4 linked regions of the Schizosaccharomyces pombe genome follow. Changing the gene in region 2 together with the main gene of any one other region gives a genetic interaction. Each region holds a gene or a part of one and is shown on either strand. Other genes may lie near its edges.

Region 1 (5,924 bases), on a different chromosome or scaffold from region 2:
TTAAAGCTAACGGTTGAGGAGTCAAGCCTTGAAGTCGACGACGTTCTAACATACGTCTACCCAGTTGAAACTGTTGACCATTACCCCATGTATATACTTTTCCTGTGGTAGTCAAGGCAATAATATGGTCCGTCCCTGTAGCTAATTGACAAATTTCGGGAAGTCGCATCTGCGTCGGTTCAGCTGTACGTTTTTGAGAATCGCTATACCCTAATACACCATCGGAACACTAGTATGTTAGCAAACGAAAAATGATAAATTTATAAAGCCATTTGTTCCAAAAGGGCGAAGGGAAATGATACAATGAGTCAATAGACTATAAACAACACTGCAACGATAACAGCACCTGAATTTGGAATCAAAGATCAAATGATAATTTTTCACGGCCAAAACAAATTACTTACACGGAAAGTACCCCAAGTAAAGCAGCAGCCATTGTCCGTTATTGCTGCAGTGAGATTGTCGCTACATATAACTTTTGTAACGCGTAGATGAGATAAAGCACCTTCGACCTTAGAAGGAGTTCCCTCTAGTAAATCATTGTCAACTTTGTCTCCATTCTCATCCTTTTGATCCTTAGTAAGACGACCAAGGGCATAGTCATCATTAACTCCCCAGGTGTATACGCGACCGTCATGAGAAAGGGCTGCAGAATGCATGCCGCCAACAGCCAAATCGACTACTCCTACTTTATCTGTAGATAAAATAGGATTCAAACGAGGACGATAAACGACATCCATTTCTTCTTCGCCCATACCTAGCTCGTTCATGGAACCGCTTCCAAAGACGTAAACGTTCAATCGTTCCGTAGGTAGTTCAGGTATCTTATTAATTCGCTTTGCGCTTCCTGGGACACGAACGGGTTTGGGTAGAGAGCTGACCTTTGCACGTTTAACCGGCTTTTTGCCATTTTTCATCACATCTGATTCATCTAATTCTCTTTTTTCAACCCCATTTTTTGAGACCTCCTCTCTTTTAGTTGAGCTTCTAGTACTTCTATTAGAAGTCATTATGAGTTTTAGCTGGAAGGGTTAGCTTTGCTACTAACAATCGATTTGTAATTTAAAAAAGAACAAGATGTCATCGCGTATTCCATGCAACCATCACCAGACGCAAATCCAAGAATTACATTTACTTTTTGGTACCACTTACTATAGCTTGGGTTTAAAATATTACAAAAGACAAAAAACAACGATTTATGTCGTTTTTGTTTTCGCAGAGACGTTGTTTTCAAAACTCGAACAAGTCGTTCTGTATACGGATTCTCACTATTCAGTATACTGCGAATCGTTGTTATGTGCAGCTTGTAATTAAGCATTCGTTAATTACAACATAAGCTTCGTTTAGCAAAATAAGTTATTGACTTCAGTAAAAGTTCCCAGCTTGTATTTGTTCAAATGTGTGTAAGGTGAGCTACGAATTTTTATGAAATCCTTTCTTTTTTTTTAACTTCATTTGATTTATATAAATTCGTTTAATCACGTCGAATGTTGAAAATTTGAGACCTCTTCTTATCTGAGAAAGCGGTTTCATGTATAGCTAAACAAAGATCAAATTTAAAAAAAAAGCTCATTAGTCATAAGAAGTTACAGTAAGACTCGGAGTGTCCATCGTTCAGCAAGATCGTATGCGAGAATACGAACTCAAGCAACGCGATTTTAATCTCTTCATAAATTATTTTTATGAGGACCATATACTTTTTTCCCTCATGATTTAATATTTAGTTACAATGAACATAGTCGTTAGCAGTTTCTGTTTTCTTTATTCTTTTCTGGATTTATATGTCTGTGAATTTGCCATGTCATAAATTTGGGTAACGATGTTACTCAACTTGATTCTACAAGTTTGCCTGTGAACTTGAGTATACTGTAAAATTAATTTCTCTTCTTAATCAGCTCAAATTATTAAAAGTTGTAGTTGAAATTTTCAAAATACGGCAAGTTGTCTTGTGGGGGGCGGTTTTATCTATCGGTAATGGCTCAAAGGTTAACCCTATAGAAGGGACTTGTGGTGTTTGGTGACTGGCTCAGTACCTTGCCAACAGCAGAATTGGCATCCCTTGCTCATCTTGATCAAAACTGTGTAAATACAGCCTTTTCAAAGAGTAAGTTATTATAATAAATTTACAACTAACGTAGATAGGGCTTCGGATGCTGTCCCATTGAATTGCGAGAGTGTAAACAATAACCTCGCGACTTCAGCCAGTATTGAACAAAAAACCTCTCTAGGATGTCTGTTGCATCCTTTCTCACGGGCGAAAAGCTTCTAGCAGGATCCAAGTTTGTAATTGGAAAATACAATGTTACTATCGAAAAGTACATAGCCGAAGGTATAATTTTTGGGTTGGATGGATCGAGGAGTATTACAATGAAAGATTTATTTTACTAACATTTTTCATTAGGCGGCTTTTCTCATGTATATCTTGTTCAAACAAATTCCAAAACTGATGGATCACCGATAACTGCTGTTTTGAAACGCATGTATTCTCCAGACGAGAATGCCCTGCGTTTCGTGAAAACTGAAATCGAAACGATGGTATGTTAACGTTATTGATTTTTTTGTCTAACTTATTAGGAACTACTCAAATCCAATCCCCACGTGGTTTCGTATATCGACTCCTGCATATTTCCTCTCGAGAAAGCGGGTGTCAACACTGGATTTGAAATCCTGCTTTTGATGGAATACTGCGCTGGGGGTGGATTGATAGATTTTATGAATCAAAGGTTACAAACTCGGTTGTCAGAGCATGAAGTCTTAAAAATTATTTCAGATATTGTACAGGGTGTTGCTTCCTTACACTATCTGAGACCTCCTCTCATTCATCGCGATCTGAAAGTAGAAAATGTTTTGCTAAGCTTTAATACTTTTAAATTGTGCGATTTTGGAAGTGTGACTGAGCCAATGCATGCTGCTGAAAACTCTAGCGAAATTCAAGCATTAGAAAAAAGTATCAACACATTTACTACCTACCAATATCGTGCCCCTGAGATGATTAATTTGTATTCAGGCTTAGGAATTGATGAGAAAAGTGACATGTGGGCTTTAGGAGTCTTGTTATACAAACTCTGTTACTATACAACTCCTTTTGAAACACAAGGTCCTAACGCTATATTAACAGCTTCATATTCCTTCCCCCCATTTCCTCCTTATTCACATTCTCTTAAAAATGTCATCATCGCTTTACTTCAGCCGAATCCTTGTCTTCGTCCAAATATTTTTCAGTTGATGTGTGAGATATGTCGTCTTAGAGGGACGGCTTTACCTTTTAGGGATATATACAGTGGAAGAGAGTCGTCTTTTTATGATTTGCATAACCGGAAAATAATGTCTTTGCTTCGACAAACAACAACAACACCGTTTGCTGGAAACCAAGTCATGCCGACTCCACAGGTTCAGGGCTCAAGACCTCCCCCTCCTCCTCCTATGCCAGCTCCTATCTATAACGTACCAAATGTGCCGACTGTACCAACCGTTTCCCCTAATCCATTTTTGCAACCTACTTTCTCTGGCACTTCTCAAGCTAGTGCACATCCTTCTATCCACAGCCAATCCGCAACATTTAACAACACTCAAGATGTGAACAGACAGAGTGTTTCGTCTCCGAAGGTTGTTTCATCAAGTTCTGTAACTGGCTCAGGAGCTAGTGGTCGCAAAGTCTACACACCTCAAAGTAAGAATCCCTTCCCAATATCTCAGGGAGTCACGGGAACATCTTCAAAATTTTCTGCTAGCGAGGTTACAGAAGATAATGGTTCACCAAACGCCGGACTCGATGCCGATAACGTTGACGTTGAGGAAGTTGTTAACCAGCGTTATCCTGATCTAAATGAGTTGGAGTCACAGCTTACTAGTCATACTAATATTACGACTAGTTCTCATCATAACCCTAGGGAACAAGAGATAGCAAAATTGGCTGATGATGCATTCGCTAGTTTCCGTCAGACAGCTGGTACTTCAACCGCAAATAGTACTCATACCACTGGTACTCAGGATATATCTGCCTTTGATACAAATTTTTCGGAAGGGGTTGGTAGCGTAAGGTCTTCTTTTGATTTCCCTGATCGTCCAGTATCTAGACGACCTTCAAGCACTTCTAGGTCGTCTGTTAAAATTACTGGACCTTCGAGCCCCAATGCGCGTTCTATGGCTTATGAGCAACACTCCTTTAACCTTGATGATTTGAGTAATACTAATTTTGGTTCTAATAATTCTCTTAGACATGCCAAATCATTTTCCAAATATTATTCACCTTCTCATAAAGATTCGAACAAAACTTCCAGAAACACATCTAAAGAGGGGCTCCCCTCCAGTCCTACTATGCTCTATCGTACAACATCTAATACTAGAGGTGACTATATCGTTCAACGCACACAACAGTCTGCCAATCCTTTGACAAATATCGAACCCCAAGATATGTCAAACCTTAGTACTGATATTAATGCTTCTGACGTTGTTGCCGATTCAACCAACTCTATTCTTTATCCTACTTCGACCGCGTCTTCTGTTGCCAACACTATTGCCTCCGATGTTGACGACTTTGGAACTTTTAATGGTTTACAAAGAACCGTGAGTTTACATAGTGAGCGGGCAAGTCTTGACAAGAAGCGTCCTTCTTTTCATGACAAAAATCCGTACTTTAAATTTTCTCCAAGCAAGTATGTTGACGAAGGATTGGAAGGTGAAAGTGAATTAAGAGAGCGTGTACGAAGTTATGCTAACCGCTCAAGTTCAAGTTTCCATAATCCAGATTTAACAGACACAGAAATTCAAGAGACGTCTTTTAATAACGATTTGAGGCCTGTAGCTTCTATTCAAAGTGCAGAAACCTCCAGAAGCGTAAGTGATAGACCTGCAAATTTTCCAGAGGAATTAAACGACACGTTATTTGAGCAAAAATATCCGGGAATTGTTGATTACGAGGAACCCAATTCGAATGCAGAAAAGAACGTTAATATTTGAGTTATCAACCAGACTTTACCGACTTTAAACTAATTATATTTTTTTGCAATGATTTATTTCCTTATTATATATATAAATCCTTCATGCAAATTCGGTGTTGCCTTTGAAGAGTTTTAGATGGATGATTTTTTGATATGTACCGCTTGATGTCACGGCCTGTGCTTCAAGTCTTTGGAATTTTTACTCATGTTATTCTCTGTATCTATCGTTGTTCACTAGTTCTCCAGGAATTGGAGTTCCCTATACATAACTCGGATACATAGTAGCCAAAATTCTAATATCAGTTTTTCAATATAAATTCCATTTTTTGGATTATTGTAAAAGCTTTAGTTATTGACAAGTTATTATTTATTTTCAGCGCAGAGTTTTATGTTGTCAAAGCTCGTTATTCCAATCGTGGTTAAATAATCAGAACAAGTAAACAAACAAATACCCAACTAGATAACATGGATTTGTGGAAGAAAGGAAAGCGCTTCTTTCGATTTAGTAAAGAACCAGTAATTACATGTATTAATACTAGTTATGCTGGTAAAGAAATTATATTTGATTTAATTGCCAACCCGCAAATGGAAACTAAAGATGTCAATCTTACTTTGGATTTTGATGCACCAATTTTCCACCGAAAAGCAGGAATAGACGGGCTGCTAACACTAACTAATAAGTCAAAAGTAAACGAAATTCAGCTGATCAGTATCGAAGTCTTTATAATTGGAATATGTAAACACAAGTTTCATTCGTCAACAGTCTTCCTGTGTTTAGGAACTCACATCATGGAAGGGCAATACATTGTACCAGAAGAACTCTTAGATTATGCTAAAAAAAGGGGGAAAAACCGGATAATCAGTATTCCCAATCATTCAACAGTTGACATTCCATTTCAAGTCAATTTTCCTAAACACGTCGAAGTAGGACCTGGCCGACAAATCCATTCAAGGGTAAAGGTACAGTATTTTGCATACGCGTAA
Region 2 (6,731 bases):
CCAATTTGCTTTGAGAGTTTTCTGCTTGTAAGGACGACTCACATTCAGCATTTACAATGAGTGACATCGACAAAGAAAGCTTAAAACAAAATCAGAAGCAATGGGAAAATGAAGTTGAGTTGGGCGAAAGCAGAGAAGCTAATCAAGATGATGAGCTTCTGATGAGCCTTGGTTACAAACCAGAATTCACTAGAGAATTCTCTTACGTTAGCATTTTTGGTCAATCGTTTGGATCAATGGGTCTTTGTCCGGCTATGGCGGGTTCACTCATTTTCTCGATGAACTGTGGAGGAGGAGGCATGGTTTGGTCATGGATTATTGGATGTATATGTCTGATTCCAGTAAGTATATCATTGGGCGAACTGGCGTCTTCTATGCCTACTTCTGGAGGTCTTTATTTTTGGATTTTTACCCTAGCATCACCATCGTCAAGAGCATTTCTCTGCTGGGTTTGTGGTTACGTGTCAGTGCTTGGCTACGCTACGATTTATGCTTCAACAGTGTACTCTGCATCATCTATGGTACAGGCACTAGCTGTGATAGGTAGTCCTTCTTATTCACCTACAAAATATGAACAGTACGGAATTTACGCAGCGTTGCTTTTCGTGATTTCTGCCATGACTGCAATTCCCTCTCGTGTTATCGCGAAGGTGAACATCATTAATATTACCTTCCAATTCCTTGTATCCATTATTCTTATTATTGCCCTTGCCGCAGGATCTGACTCTACTACTAGAAATTCTGGAAGTTTTATATTCGGTGATTTTACAAATTATTCTGGATGGTCAAACATGGGATGGGCATTTATACTTTCATTCACTACTCCTGTGTGGGTTGTAAGCGGATTCGAATCTAGCGCCGCTGTTGCTGAAGAATCAACGAATGCTGCCAAAGCAGCTCCCTTTGCTATGATTTCCAGTCTTGGTGTGGCTACCATTCTTGGATGGTGCATCGTTATCACCGTTGTAGCTACTATGGGTCACGATTTTAATGCCATTCTAGGTTCCTCTTTAGGCCAGCCTGTAGCTCAAGTACTGGTTAACAATGTTGGAAATAAGGGAGCTTTAGGAATTTTCTCTTTGCTGGTCATTGCCCTTTGTTTGAACTGCATTTCGTTACTGATTGCTGCATCTAGAGAAGTATTTGCTTTCTGCAGAGACGGCGGGATTCCAGGAAGTAGATACTTACGTCTTTTGACTAAACAGAAAGTTCCCTTAAATGCAATTCTTTTAGTGCTACTCTATAGCCTTTTAGTCGGTCTACTAATTTTGGTTAATGTCACTGCCATTTCTTCTGTGTTTAATTTAGCAATTATTGCTCTTTATATCGCTTATTCCGGCCCTCTTATGTGTCGATTTGTGTACAATAAATTTCAACCTGGTGTTTTCTACGTTGGAAAATGGAGCAAACCAGCAGCCTTATGGTCATTAGTTTGGATGTGGTTTATGATTCTTATGCTTTTGTTTCCTCAATATCAAAAGCCCAACCAAGATGAGATGAATTGGGCTATAGTGGTCCTTGGATTTGTAATGGTCTTTTGCGTGGTGTATTATTATTTGCCAAAGATTGGTGGTAAAACTTTTTTTACAGGTCCAATACCTACTGTTCAACAGGAGAACGAGTACATATCTGGTGTTCCACTAAATGAACTATCTTTAAGCAGTTTACCTTTGCCAAAAGATTTTGACCAGAAGCAAATCACAGAGTAATTTAACCTGAGTGTTATACTTTTCTTAACTCTTCTTTTTGGCAACAGCTACGCTGTTTCATTGTATTTTTACTGTGCTTTTATAATTGTATGTTTATTAACAGTTCTTTTTTATTCTTTTGTTCCTAGTCTTAGTTAAATAGCTTAATATTGTTTTAATGTCTTTTAATGAATTAGTGGCTCTGTTATCATTATCAGTAATATAAGATTATATAAAATTTTTTTTATCTTTCGAGTACGTATACTTATCGTCTTGTCCAGATTTTCTTATCATCACTTCCCTTATAACCTATACTTAAGCACGACTTGAGTAGTGCTAAAATAAATCTGCAGATGTATATGCTTTTTAACAGTAAACTGCACCAAAGGCGGTAATGCTTGCTTACAATTGATACGCATTCAGCTAGAATTTAAGATAGTTGTTTAATTACTCTTTTCTTAACATAAGATGTCTCAAAATAAAGCATGTGATCTTTGCAGGTTGAAGAAGATTAAATGTAGTCGAGGGCAACCAAGATGTCAGACTTGTACTCTTTTTCAAGCGGACTGTCATTATTCTAATCGTGCTCGCCGTAAGAGACTTGTTCAAAGAAGCAAGGAGACGTTTGGGGGAATTACGTTACCCGTGTTTGATTATGCCGCTGGTATTAACGGCAATGAGCCAGAACCGAGTGATCACTCAATTCCAAATCAAGAAAATTTTGCATTAACTACTAATGGAACTATTAGTAAAAACATTGAAAAACCCGAGGATGGTGAAGAATCCGTTCAGAGACGCCTTAAATTGCTTGAAGAAAAAATCGATTTGTTGTTAGATATAGCTACTGAAACTTCAGAATTTAAACGTGAAAATAAGGCTATTGAATTACCTTCCTTGGTTACACAAATTAAAGATGCAGAATCGATTGTTATTAAACACAGACAAGGTAGCCCTGTCGACAATACACCTACTCGGATACTGAATGTGGAAAGCTTGTTCCCTCCACAGTTGCCGGACTGGGAGAAGGCATTCCATGACATTCCCAAGAAGGAAGTAGCCCATGAGTTAGTCACGTCTTACTTTCAGCATGTAAATTGGTGGTGGCCTACCTTCGTATATAATGATTTTATGTATGAGTTCGAACGTCTTTATGCGTTCGGGTTCCATAGCAATAATGCTTGGCTAATTTCTTTTTATTCTATTTTAGCATTAAGCAGCATTAGGAAAAGACTTGGTAACTCAAAGACGCTTGCAGAGTCTTTGTTTTCAACAGCTTGGGTTTTTGTTCAAAAGTCCGACTTTTTTCTTACTCCGAGCATTGACAAAGTTCAGGCTTTAATTGTCATGACACAGTACGCAGCTTACCTGTCTAGCTCTTCTTTATGTCGGACTTTGTGCGGCCAAGCCTGCCTCATGGCCCAACAATTAAACTTACATAGAAAGCAATCCACTGATGTGGAGCCTGAAAAGGCTGAATCGTGGAAAAGGATATTTTGGATGTGTTATATTCTCGATAAAAATATTTCTTTGATTTTTGGAACCCCTTCCGTTTTTAACGACAAGGATATTGATTGTAATTTGCCTGATAGCAAATATGAGCTTTTGTTTGGTGTACAATCTGGTGGTGATTTGATATTTGTTCCTACCGTATCGTTGACAATAATTCAGAGTGAAATACGAAATCGACTATACAGCGTGAAGTCACCTACGCAAATGGCAGCGAGAGAAAAAATCATCATACCAATACATCAAAAATTGAAAGCGTGGGAAGAAAACCTTCCTTCTGAAATAAAAATGTATCATGAAATGTTGCTAAACAACACTTTTTCTCCCACTATATCGCTTAGCGATCGGTTCGAATTTTTAACTTTCGCAGGTATGGAAGTTTACTTTTCTTACTTAAACACTTTAATTATATTACACAGACCTAGCTCGTCGACAGAGAATCGAAGGATTTGTATTAATGCAGCCCGTGAAGCAGTTCAATTGTTAAAAAATAGACTCAACATTGATCTCAGGGTCAATGTTAAAGCAGATCCGCTATGGATATTCCTATACTGTCCTTTTACACCTTTTTTAATAATATTTAATAACCTTGTTCACGAAACTGATACGGAAACGGACTCAGAAACATTACTTAACGATTTGGATCTTTTACATGTAATTTACGATTTTTTTATGGAAATGGAGCCAGTTAGTGACGTGGCTTTGGAACTTGTCAAAATTGCAGACAAACTTTTGCGGGTTGCTAAAGAAGTTTGCAGTGCCAAAAATAATGATGTTACGGATTCTACTTTTAAAGATATCGTTGAAGGTTTTGAACTTAACGACTTAAACAGTTGGGATTTTGACAGAGTAACCAATGTTATGAGGAATCTTTAAAAAAATATGAAAGTAACGTTGTTTTATTAATAATTTATTTGCTTTAATGTACATGGTGAACATCATTACCGGTTAACAATGAAGCTATTATCAAACTATTTTGCTTGATCAACTACATGCATCGACCCAAATGTCTAATTGAGTAGTGCAGTCAATTCAGAGGAGTCACCAAATCTTGAGATTGCCTTTCTTGATTGGGAAATCCAGTCAGTTGCCATTACAATTTTCAGTTCTAAAATTCCGACTATGGATAACGCTATTACCTGTCCAATCCAAAGACCGACAAGACCTTTGCCATGGAAGGCTAAATAAATTCCTAGAGGCAGAGCAAACAAATAGTAGGCAGTAATGTTAACTATAGCGCCAACCTTCTGTCTTCCCGTGCCTCTTAAAGCTCCTCCCATTGTACCATTCAAGGAATCTGATATTTGGAAAGCAGCTACTAAGGGCATTACAAGAGCAACCAGCTGAATGACATCTGGATCATTTGTGAAAATCCGTCCATAGATATTGCGTACGGCAATCATGGTAATCATGATAACGCTTCCTACTGCAACACCTACAATTGCTGCGACCTTAGCAGTTAGAGAAGCATTGTCAGGTAACCCAGCTCCGAGATAGTAGGCAACTCGATTAGAAGTAATTATTCCGAGACCGAAAGGAATTGTGTTAAGTAATTGATCTGTGGTCATAATTACTGATTGAGCGGCAAGTGGTACAGCACCAAGTTTACCAGCAACTAGTGCTACTATTTCAAAAGCCCACCATTCTGTTCCCACCATAACGATACCCAATAGTGATAACTTTACAAAAGGTCCAAAGTTCTCTAAGCATCGTTTATTCCAACCATTCCACGCCTCTGCCCCTTTTACGTATTTCGCATATTGAGTTAATAAAATGAATGAAAGCCAGTACGATAATCCAGTTGCCAATGGAGCGCCTTTTAAACCTAATCCATAATAATGGACAAGTAGAAAATTTAAGGCGACATTAAGAGGAGAGGTAACTAGAAGAATATAAGAACCAGCCCTAGTGATTTCTTGTGTTTGCAAAAACTTTTTTAGCAATTCAAAACATACATAACCTAGTCCGCCTGGGATAAGGTATCGTAAAAACTTTTGTGAAGCTTCAGCTAATTCAGGTGTTTGATGCAAGAAAATTAGGATGGGTTTAGAATACCACCAAACTAAACATATTGGCAGATATAGAATACTGAGCACGATGAAACCCGTTTGCAATAGAATTCCCAATTCTTGTTTTTTTCCGGCTCCCCAAAGGTTGGAGCCAAGTGTGTCAAAAGCAGTAGTTCCACCTAGAGCAATCAGCCAGCCTGTGCTCATCGCAAACATGTACGCAAAAGCAGCTACGGAAAGCTCGCTTGGTCCAAGGCGCCCGGTTACAATAACTGAACTAGTTTGCAAAGAGTTTTGCAAGGCATATCCAAGGATTACCGGAGCTGAATTTATCAAAAGGTATTTCACCTCTGTAAGTGGTCTACCCATAATAGTGCTTTCTCAGAGAAAATTTGGATATACGGTGTATTTTTTAATATAAATAAAGAGTACTTCTTAATGTCTGTTCACCGAAGGTTCAAATTTTCCTTTAATAAAAGTTTACTAAGCTTTTATCATATTGATTGAACGGATGGAACCATAAATTTATATCAGAGAACGCTTAGAAGCCGCACATTTAGGGCATAAAACTTCAGATGTCATGGCTAAACATTAGTATATCCGTGGAGATACGGAAATTTAGAAATACCCACGCAAAATATTTTTCGCTTAGCCAACAGACATTGGGAATTCTCGCCGAGTTTTTGCTAACTTAAATGATAGCAGTTAGCATATTTTGCCGGTGAAAATATTATTACCGTCTCACTCCGCTGGTTAAAAATAGTAGGTAACAAATCGGTTGCAGACTAAGAAGCTATTGACTCGCACGTTATTCTTAATTTGTTGAAATTAGTACAAAAATTTGAGCATGAAAGCGAATAAAGAGTACAAAAAATATTTTGTAATTTTACCTTGCATACTCATTGACTGTTAATAATTATAACACTTACCGATGGTGGTAAAATATATAGCAGAAAATAGCTTGGTGAATTTATTAGTCAATAATGATTTGAACAAACATTACAGAAAAAACGATTTGTAATTTCCCAAATAACTGTGTATAAGTATGAATCCAGTTGTTTGGCGTACGCATATATCATTCTCGGTTAATTTTGCTTTTCAAAAGTTTATATTTAGATTGCTGTGACTTTTAGAATGCAACACGAAATAACTTTAAATCTTTACGTTTTTATTAAAACTTTCTAAATTAGTTTATAAACATCCATTCGTTCTTTAAATAGAATAAGCACCAAAATTCATCTTTGCTTGCAATCACTCTCTTACTATATAGATATATGCATGATATGACAATTATAATCAACATTAAATAAACACAACAACAACAAATAATCACACTTGTTCTTACAATTTGTAAGCGTTTTTGCTCCACGCACGAATGCTCTTGCCAAAACGATAAAATATAAAAGGAATGGGAACCATCGCTACAGAAATAAAACCAAGCACACTAGTAGCCCAGTGATCTCCTAAATTAAGGTACATAGGCCTGGCCACCATACTTATGCCTCCACTGGCAGAATAGCGAACTAGA
Region 3 (4,301 bases), on a different chromosome or scaffold from region 2:
ATGTGAATGTAATTTGGACAGTGTTTTACAGAAAGCAGGAGGAAACAAATCTGTCCGTGAAGCAGCCCATTGTCCCAACTGCAAAATAAAAAAATAATGTTAGTAACATGATAAGCGTAAATTCAAAACGTACCTTGATAAACGTTGCTCCTGCTCTTTCTAATTGAGTAACGAGGAAACGAAGCCAAATGGATACGGTTAAAGACGACAAAGATCGAAGATGCAGGAAAGAAATAAGAGCGATAAACGGTAAGGTAATAATAATTGGAGAGAAAATAATAAATAAATTAAATGACCTGAGGAGAATATTAAAAAATTGTTTTATTTTTCCAAAAATAGAACGAGGTCGATTGCTTCTCTCTTCTAATTCAAGTTCGTCAAAGGAGAAAATATTATTCTTTCGATTTTTGACTCTGTATAAAATCCATAATCCTCCGACCGTAAAAGGGAGGACAAGAAATGTAATCCTTAGTATCCTCCATTGCTTCTGGTCTTCACTTTTTTGTCGGGTTGTAAACTTTCTTGCAAATATAGGTTTGGGGAATAAAGATATATGCTTCAATCGATTAACCAGTACGTGCTTTTTTTTGTATGGTGACCAAACTGACTGTGTCCCGCATAACCTTTTCCATCTTGTGTTCTGCGAGTTAACGACAGGAATATAATTTCTTTGAATAATGAAAGCAAAACGAGAGTTTGCAGAAGGAATCATGCTTAGACTAAGTCCCGAACGTATGTGAGAATTCCAGTGAGAAAAACTAATCATGTTCACCAATTATTGACTTTCAGAAGAGCATTTCCTTATCAAGAATCAAAAAAATAAATAAACTAATTACAATGGGTATTTTCGATTGAAAACACTGGCAAACCTGATAAAGAAAATAGGAATTGTTCAATAAATGTGTATAGCAGCTACTAAAAGAGGTGTTTCAAAGAATTTAGGAAACCCTGTCAACCTTTAATATCTTGAAAATAAAGAATGCACCAGTTCAAAAATATTGCTCAAATTTACGTGTCACTAGTGTCTATTGGTGTCAACGTCGAATGACGCTGTCTACTTGTGACTGGGAGAAAGAAAAATAATAATTGTTAGCCAAAATGAAGACTGTAATAATAATCAATTCTTTCATTTTATAAATAAAATATTGACTAATTAATGCTCAGTTCCTATTTGGATTCTATAGAATTGAACTTACAGTATGATAAACTGGATATGATCATCTAGTACGTGAAGAAACATTTTTTTATTCATTATTACCAATAAAATGTAATTTATCAAAATTTCAAAGTTCTAATTGAAGGGAAGATTATTAAAATATAAAAAATGACTGATTATAGGAATCACATTTTTTTTCCTTATACACCTATAATCGGTAATATTCAAATAAGTTAAATAATCAGTTCATGGTAGTATTCTGCTGCCAAAGAGAGATAATTGTAAAATCGCTAGCAGTTGATAAAATAAAGTATAAATTGAAATTAAAATGGAATTGTTTGTACTGAATTAAAAAGCTTTACCATCATTACTTCAATTGCCGTTAACTCAGAGACTAGCATAGAGTTTATCTATAGAGACTCTTTGATTGATTTAATAAAAAGCCTTTGATCGACGATGGTTCATTCGCCAAGTTTCATTGATGAGTAACAGTTGACTGAGAATATTTCACCTAACCCATTCTTGATAAAAGTATAAATTGGAAGTGCTAATTTAGAACAAATTATTAAGTTCTTGGCTCAAAATTTTGAGATGTCCCTACAGGATGTGTAAAAGTTGAGTATGAATATTATTACTGATGCCCAGCTATCAAATGTCATCCTCTCCCCAACACTACCAATTCATTCGAAAACATACATATTGAATGAAAACACACGAAAATCAACGATACTGTTTTTTAGATTCTGACATTTGTAAATTACGAGAGGGTATTTTGAACGAAGTTGAAGAATTAATTCAGGATGACCGAAAATTTGCAGTCGGAATCAATTCCCCATGAAATACTCCCTAAGGAGCCTTTTGATTTACCAATGAACAACTTAAAAAGCTCTCCTAAAAATAAAGATTCAGAGAAACGAATAAATAATTCGATCGCTGAAAGTGAGCAGGTTGTTGATTCGGCTCTATCTAATCCAGAGACCAATGCTAATGAGGATATTATCGCACCTCAATTGCCTTCTCAAAATTCTGAAATCATTGAAAAAAACTCGCCAGTGAACAAACTGAACAGTTCCACGTCCCTCACAACTCATCAGTTAGCGTCACTTCCTAAATTAGAGGTAACAGATCATGATAATGTATCTGAGGCAGAAACTGTAGTCTTAAATGAAGATGAAGAGAAAGAAACATCTTTAGTTGGTTCGGTATCAGTCACTGAGGACTTAGGTGACTCAAGTGCAATTGGCAGAACCATACTGGTAAACAACTCTGTGGAACCTCAGATGGAAAACACAGCAAATATAACCATTGTTAGTCCTTCATTGAAGGAATCTGACTTTGAGTCTGAAGAAAAAGCTACCAATGACAACAATGGACTCATAGAGACTAACCACAACTCGAAACTTGAGGAGTCTTCTGAGCATGAGGAGGAAGAAGACGAAGAGTCGAATATTGAAAGAACCGAAGATTCTGACCACCAGATACCACAAAGAGGTGGAACTTTAGAAGCACCCAGAAAAGGTGGTCCTCGAAGTGGCGTTGGAAGTCGAAAGCGTAAACGTGCAACAGTTTCTCGAAAATGGTCTACTAACAGTGAGAGCAAAATAAAAAGGGTAGCTCTTGAGACCAGCCAAGAGGAATCCGATCGTGAGATTGCAGATCGTCGTTCCGCATCTGAACAGGCTCATGAAGCTGACGATGAAAAGGCTATAAAACGGAAAGAAGCGTTTGATGCTTTGCTAAATATAGAAACGGAGTTTACTTTTTTACGAAACCGTTTATATGGGAAGAAACTGTTAAAGCTGAACGAGCATGAGGAAATGATACAAAACGAAACCCATGAGCGTTTTAATGCCTGCATTGATCTTATAACAGAGCGGCGAGATGATCGTGTGCGTTTAGCTACTGAAAACCTCATGAAACAACTTGGGAATATAAAAAACGTAATGGACTATGTAACGAAACAGAGGAAGTATCAGTTACTGTTTGATAAAAGAAGAATACGACAAGCGCTTCTAACCAAAATTGCAACGAAGTGCTTTCAGCTTTTAAACAAACAAAAATCTGTTCACGATCCCACATATATTACTCAAAAAACCATGTCATATCGCCAAAGTGCCTTGTTACAGAAGCAACGAATTGAATATGAAGCTGCAGTTTTGTGTGAGCTTAATAGTTTTGCTGGGTTTCCGACAGCACCTATTATCGAAACAGCTTCTTTTGATGACATCCGCAACGACCTTTTAGAAATGGGATGCCTCAGTGAAAATCAAGACTAATTTCAAGCATCCTCATTCCCCGCGATAATTCCTAATTTCCTTCACGTTTTACTTCAATTTTGACACACAATTTCCTTTTTGGTACGGTGTCAAGAGTGTTTTTTTTTTTTCAGAGCCTAGTTAAAACTCTTGCCTTTCGTTATCTATTCTAATGTATTTTCTTTTTTTTTTTTTTTTTTTCTAAGCGATAATATAACACATTCGCTCTTCGTTTGTTTCATTTTCTTTAGAATTTACATATTCGGTTAATATTTTTAATTCAGTATTTGTTTCTGACTTAACTAATGAATTAATTTTACAGCGATTCTTTAAGTTTGTAACAGCTATCCGTCTTACTCATTTTGCCTTATAATAAATTTGCTTATGAACAATTAAGTATGTTTAAATTTGATAATAATCATGTGCTTCGCAATCAAAACTAGTTAAGCAAAGTATCCTACTTATCGTTCGATAAAGCTGACTTGTTGACGCATTCAATGGTGTGGCACTTAGCGCCGTAAACAAGTCCTATGTACATTTGAAGGATTTTAATTTAACTGATTTAATAAAAAAAAAAGATTTAGTTTGTTCAAATAAGTAAAGTAATACTCCTTTCACTTAGACTCAATCCGTTTGATGATAAAAAGGTGCGTTATACGGAAATGAAGTTTCCTCTTCTCATAATCGTTTTCTTTTTATATTGAATAATTTTGTTAAATGTATAAATGGAATAAAAAGATTTTCTTTTTCAACAAAACATTCCTCTATTCGCAATTGCATTGCTAACTTTCACCAAGTCGGATGCCAACTGCCTTTTACCTAATTTCAGTGTCAAAGAGCCAACAAACATGTTAGAAGGCCTAGTTGCCGGTATGAATTATACCTTTTTT
Region 4 (4,060 bases), 2.0 Mb from region 2:
CGCCTGTTTCTCAGAATTGTTTGCAGCCTTTGCAGCCTGAGCAGCTGCAGCCTTGTTTAGAGTAGTAAGTGCATGAGAAGCAAGGGCACGAACTTCAGGCATAGCAGCAGTTTGAGCAATACGCTCAACGTCCGGAATTAACTCAGGAAGAAAATCAGATGCCTCGGCAGGATCAGGAACCAGTTTACATAAGTTGTCAGTAATAATGACAGTCAACCGCAGCATAGACTGTGATCTCTGAGCTAATGCTCGCTTTAAGATAGGAACGAGCACAGCTAAAGCAACTGATTCAACTGTAGCTACAAATGTTGTAGCGCTTAAATCTTTAATACAAGCTTCCAGTGTTTCCGGATGAGCCATACAATCGACGAGCTTTGGTATATGAGGAATAATGTCGTTGTTTTCAACGACGGAACATAAGTTCAACATGCATGTAATAGCGGCACGAGAAATTTCCGGTTTCGTATCATGCATTCGTTCTTTAATACAAGGAATGAGAGCGGCCATGTAATCAGCAACAGCCTTGGGGGATGATGATGCAAGAGAGCCCAGTAATTGCAAAGCAGCCACTTTACTAGGCCATTTGATAGATGAATCGTCTAAGTAAGAAATCAAGCTTGGAATTAAGCGCGTTTCTACGGCTCCTGCAGGAAGACAATCCAAGAGGGCTTGGGCGGCCATTTTGGCGGCTTGTCTAACTACTTCACCACGATCCGAGAACGAATCCAAAATAGTAGGAAGATAAGGAAGGAATACAACTTCGGAAGGCGTACCCAAATTTTTAATAACAGTAGCAAAACCAATCATGGCAGCTTCACGATGGAATCCCGACTTCTTATTGCGAGCTGCACGTTCCAAGCCATCCAAAAACCCCGTAGTCTTCAAAGTGACTAAAGGGTTGTCATTTGAAAAAAGCTGGGCAATTTTTTTACCTACATCAGCACAGCTTTGAGAAGTTTCAGCATCCAACAATTCCTGCAATAATTTGAGGACATCGTCCTCTTCGTAACCCTGAATTAACACAGAGGATGTCATTTCTCTGCAATGCCGTTCCAAATCCCACAATTAACCCGATTAGGCCTTGCAATGTAGCTTGGTGGAGGACAACTATTGATATTGTGAGAATCCCTTTCATATACTAAATTTTAACCGCTCGCAAATTTATAATTTGCCTTACAGTTCCTTAAACGCCGACTATTGACAAATAGTACAGTCTCAGTATCGCTATAGCTTATTATAATATAATTACTTTAGTTCGCTATTTAGTACAGATGTTAAAAGTAAATAATATATCCTCAATATTCTGTCAAAAAAGATTTACTGAACGGACCACCTGCATTTGATGAATTAGTAAATAGAGATATTAATCCAATTAGTTCGTGAAACTCTGCTATAGTGGGCCCATCGGATCTGATGAATTTGACAGTGTAGACCTATTAGGTACCAGGTACTACCGTAGGGTATTGTACTTAATCAGCAAGAAGATACAATGATTTGATAACTTTTTAGAAAGCTTGTTTCTATATAAACCAACCAAAAAAGCTCTATAGGGATTTTTTACTACTACTCTGTTAAAATATTAGTCTGCGTCCTTATATTAATTTTAACCATAAAACGAAAAATTGGAGAAATAAATTGATTTCAATAGTTAACAGATTTCATGTAGATTCACATAATTTTGCCAATATATTTTTCCTCTGTTCTGCTCAGGTTACTAGTATATTAATAATACATAATTTAAGCTGTCACATACTACTTATTTATTTTGAGGTTCCAATATTTTATATTATTTTTCAACTAAACCGACAATCGTATTAGGCTAATGACCACTAGATATAATAAAATCATAAATTACTTATAGTACAAAAATCGGCTGCCGTTTGTGATGCAAGCGTCGTATTTTTGTTCATATAGGGTTGGGTTCGAGTTACCGAAAGTTAATGTCGCTTCGGTTGTTTCTCTAGGGACAGGGTATTTTCGTTGCTATTGACTTAGAAAAGTCGTGGAGTTATTAATAAACAACCAATAAATTTCAACTCGATTAAATACATTTTATTGTTAAGTTTTCCGTCGTTGTTTTGGCTTAAGACTGAGAAAATCAAGTCAATGGATATCAAATACAATGAGTTGGTCAACCAATTTGCGCCGGGAGCAAAACAAATTACTATAAAAAAAATACGAAAGAAAGGCAATGGAATTTTTTCTTTGAATAGGTATACTTCTGGAACTGTTCTTTTAGAGGTTCCACTTGAAAATATAATATGCCGCAAAACAGTTGAACAATTTCGAAATTCTTGTGATAAATTCGCTTCAATCGCAACGCTTGAGGAATGGAACGATATGAGTTTCAGAACTCAGGCTATGTTATTTCTTTGCTATTTATGGCTCGGTATTCAACCCCGAACCAACAAGTGGGATAAGTTTTTAACGGTTCTTCCTTTATCTATCAATACGCCTGCACAATGGCCCGAAAAAGAAGTCTACAGCCTCCAAGGCACTTCGATTTTTAATCCAGTTTGTGTCAAGAGAAAAATTTTACAACAAGAGTGGCTTTCATTAAACCAGCGGTATTCTGATTCCTGGCCTAGTAAAATAACACTCCCAAAATGGGTTCATGCTGATGCTTTGTTTCACAGTAGGTGCCTTGAAAGTCCCTTTAAAGATCCAGTTTTAGCTCCTGTGATTGATTTATGTAATCACTCCTCTAAGTCTAATGCAAAATGGTCATTTTCGGAAGATGCTATGCAGCTCTATCTTGACAAGGACATTGATGAAAATGAAGAAGTTACGATAAACTATGGAAGTGAAAAAGGTTCTGCTGAGTTTTTATTTTCTTATGGTTTTTTACCTGAACCTGAGGGCGATCGGATTACAAATGTTATGAAACTCTTGATTCCCGAGGATTCTAATGACTCGCTTGATCTTGCTAAAAGGAGATCTTGTAAAACTCCCCCCATGATTGAATTTGTTTCTGATTCATCTGGGGAATTATGGTGGCATGCTCCATTTCTTTTTTTTTCTGTACTTAATGTTGAAGACTTTACAAACTTCAAAATGGTGTGTGATGAATCAAAAGCTCAAACAGTTGACTGGGAATTTGAAGGTCAAAAATGCTCAGTTGAAGATTTGCCAAAGCTTGTACAATTATCTCCTAAAAGAGATTTGTATATTTTACGTGTTTTTTGTCTCGCTGAACAATTAGCGGATGCTGCCCTAAATACAAACATTGAGAATATGTACAATCCAACCGAACGACGTTCAGAATCGGTAGAGCTTTTAAAGCGTGAAAGTTTCTTACTTAAGAAAGTCCTTTTATATCTTAGAGACGTTATTTCAAAGCTCCTTAAGTCCAAAGTTGTGGTGGAATTCATCCATAGCCAGACCATTGAGTCATGAATCGACCATGCATAAAAAGTTATTTATTTAAAAAAAAAAAGAAAATATTTAGTATGTGATGAATACTCTACAAATCTCTTAATTTGGAATGACTAATCGTGTATAATAATATAATATCCGTAATATATCCATACCAAATAAATTAATCAGTAATTGTGAAAAAAATAAGTATCTATTTTGATTATGCTATTAAATATTAGGAAATTTTCAATTGTAGTATTGATACCAGTTTCCTGTATTCTAAGGCGTTAGTATTCAGATTGGACTACCATTAATACTATTTCGGACTATGTATTCTACCACACCGACAACTTTGACATAAAGCGACCTAGTTCCTATTTAATAGCTCGTGCAGCGTATTTACGAAGGACTCATCCTACAACTTTTTGATTTATTAGAATATTTGCCAAGGACGCATCTAGCTTATTGAGATTTAACTATGGAAACAAATCAAAATGAAAAAGGACCAAGTCTACCTTCTTATCCTGCTGGAGGAATTATGTCTGTAAGCAACTCAAATGCTGATACGAATCAAGGCGTTACTCAGCATCCCTTGGCAAATCGGATTGTTAATCCTAACTACTACAATATGGGATTCAATCCATACTCGGGTTTTAACTCCTTCATTCCTTCCTTTAATCCATTTGTCCCTTTGGAAACCAAT

What was found.
Region 1: mutations in toe4 (region 2) and ppk29 together harm fitness less than expected from each alone (positive genetic interaction), as found in Schizosaccharomyces pombe (one large-scale study listed by BioGRID).
Region 3: mutations in toe4 (region 2) and dep1 together harm fitness more than expected from each alone (negative genetic interaction), as found in Schizosaccharomyces pombe (one large-scale study listed by BioGRID).
Region 4: mutations in toe4 (region 2) and set8 together harm fitness less than expected from each alone (positive genetic interaction), as found in Schizosaccharomyces pombe (one large-scale study listed by BioGRID).

What each region holds. Positions count from the first base shown.
Region 1 is NC_003423.3:2,489,819-2,495,742, forward strand, and holds ppk29 (Ark1/Prk1 family protein kinase Ppk29), read left to right. Parts: upstream 1-2,027; 5' UTR 2,028-2,104; exon of another isoform or gene 2,105-2,142; 5' UTR 2,143-2,229; coding exon 2,230-2,329; intron 2,330-2,401; coding exon 2,402-2,535; intron 2,536-2,574; coding exon 2,575-4,959; 3' UTR 4,960-5,400; downstream 5,401-5,924. Other genes in the region: pim1 (RCC1 family Ran GEF), read right to left, coding at 1-229, 405-1,010; SPOM_SPBC557.05 (arrestin, meiosis specific), read left to right, coding at 5,406-5,920.
Region 2 is NC_003424.3:115,534-122,264, reverse strand, and holds toe4 (transcription factor), read left to right. Parts: upstream 1-2,031; 5' UTR 2,032-2,156; coding exon 2,157-4,070; 3' UTR 4,071-4,204; coding exon of another isoform or gene 4,205-5,572; 3' UTR 5,573-6,211; downstream 6,212-6,731. Other genes in the region: SPOM_SPAC11D3.08C (amino-acid permease), read left to right, coding at 57-1,709; SPOM_SPAC11D3.06 (MatE family transporter), read right to left, coding at 4,205-5,572; mfs2 (MFS family membrane transporter), read right to left, coding at 6,545-6,731.
Region 3 is NC_003423.3:3,798,662-3,802,962, reverse strand, and holds dep1 (Rpd3L histone deacetylase complex subunit, Sds3-like family protein Dep1), read left to right. Parts: upstream 1-1,813; 5' UTR 1,814-1,956; coding exon 1,957-3,432; 3' UTR 3,433-3,778; downstream 3,779-4,301. Other genes in the region: cqd1 (ABC1 kinase family protein ), read right to left, coding at 1-78, 134-766; vps1301 (lipid transfer protein), read left to right, coding at 4,260-4,281. UniProt on the Schizosaccharomyces pombe protein: Component of the RPD3C(L) histone deacetylase complex (HDAC) responsible for the deacetylation of lysine residues on the N-terminal part of the core histones (H2A, H2B, H3 and H4).
Region 4 is NC_003424.3:2,081,413-2,085,472, forward strand, and holds set8 (lysine methyltransferase Set8), read left to right. Parts: upstream 1-2,016; 5' UTR 2,017-2,106; coding exon 2,107-3,396; 3' UTR 3,397-3,529; downstream 3,530-4,060. Other genes in the region: AAA family ATPase Elf1, read right to left, coding at 1-1,035; pex13 (peroxin 13), read left to right, coding at 3,836-4,060.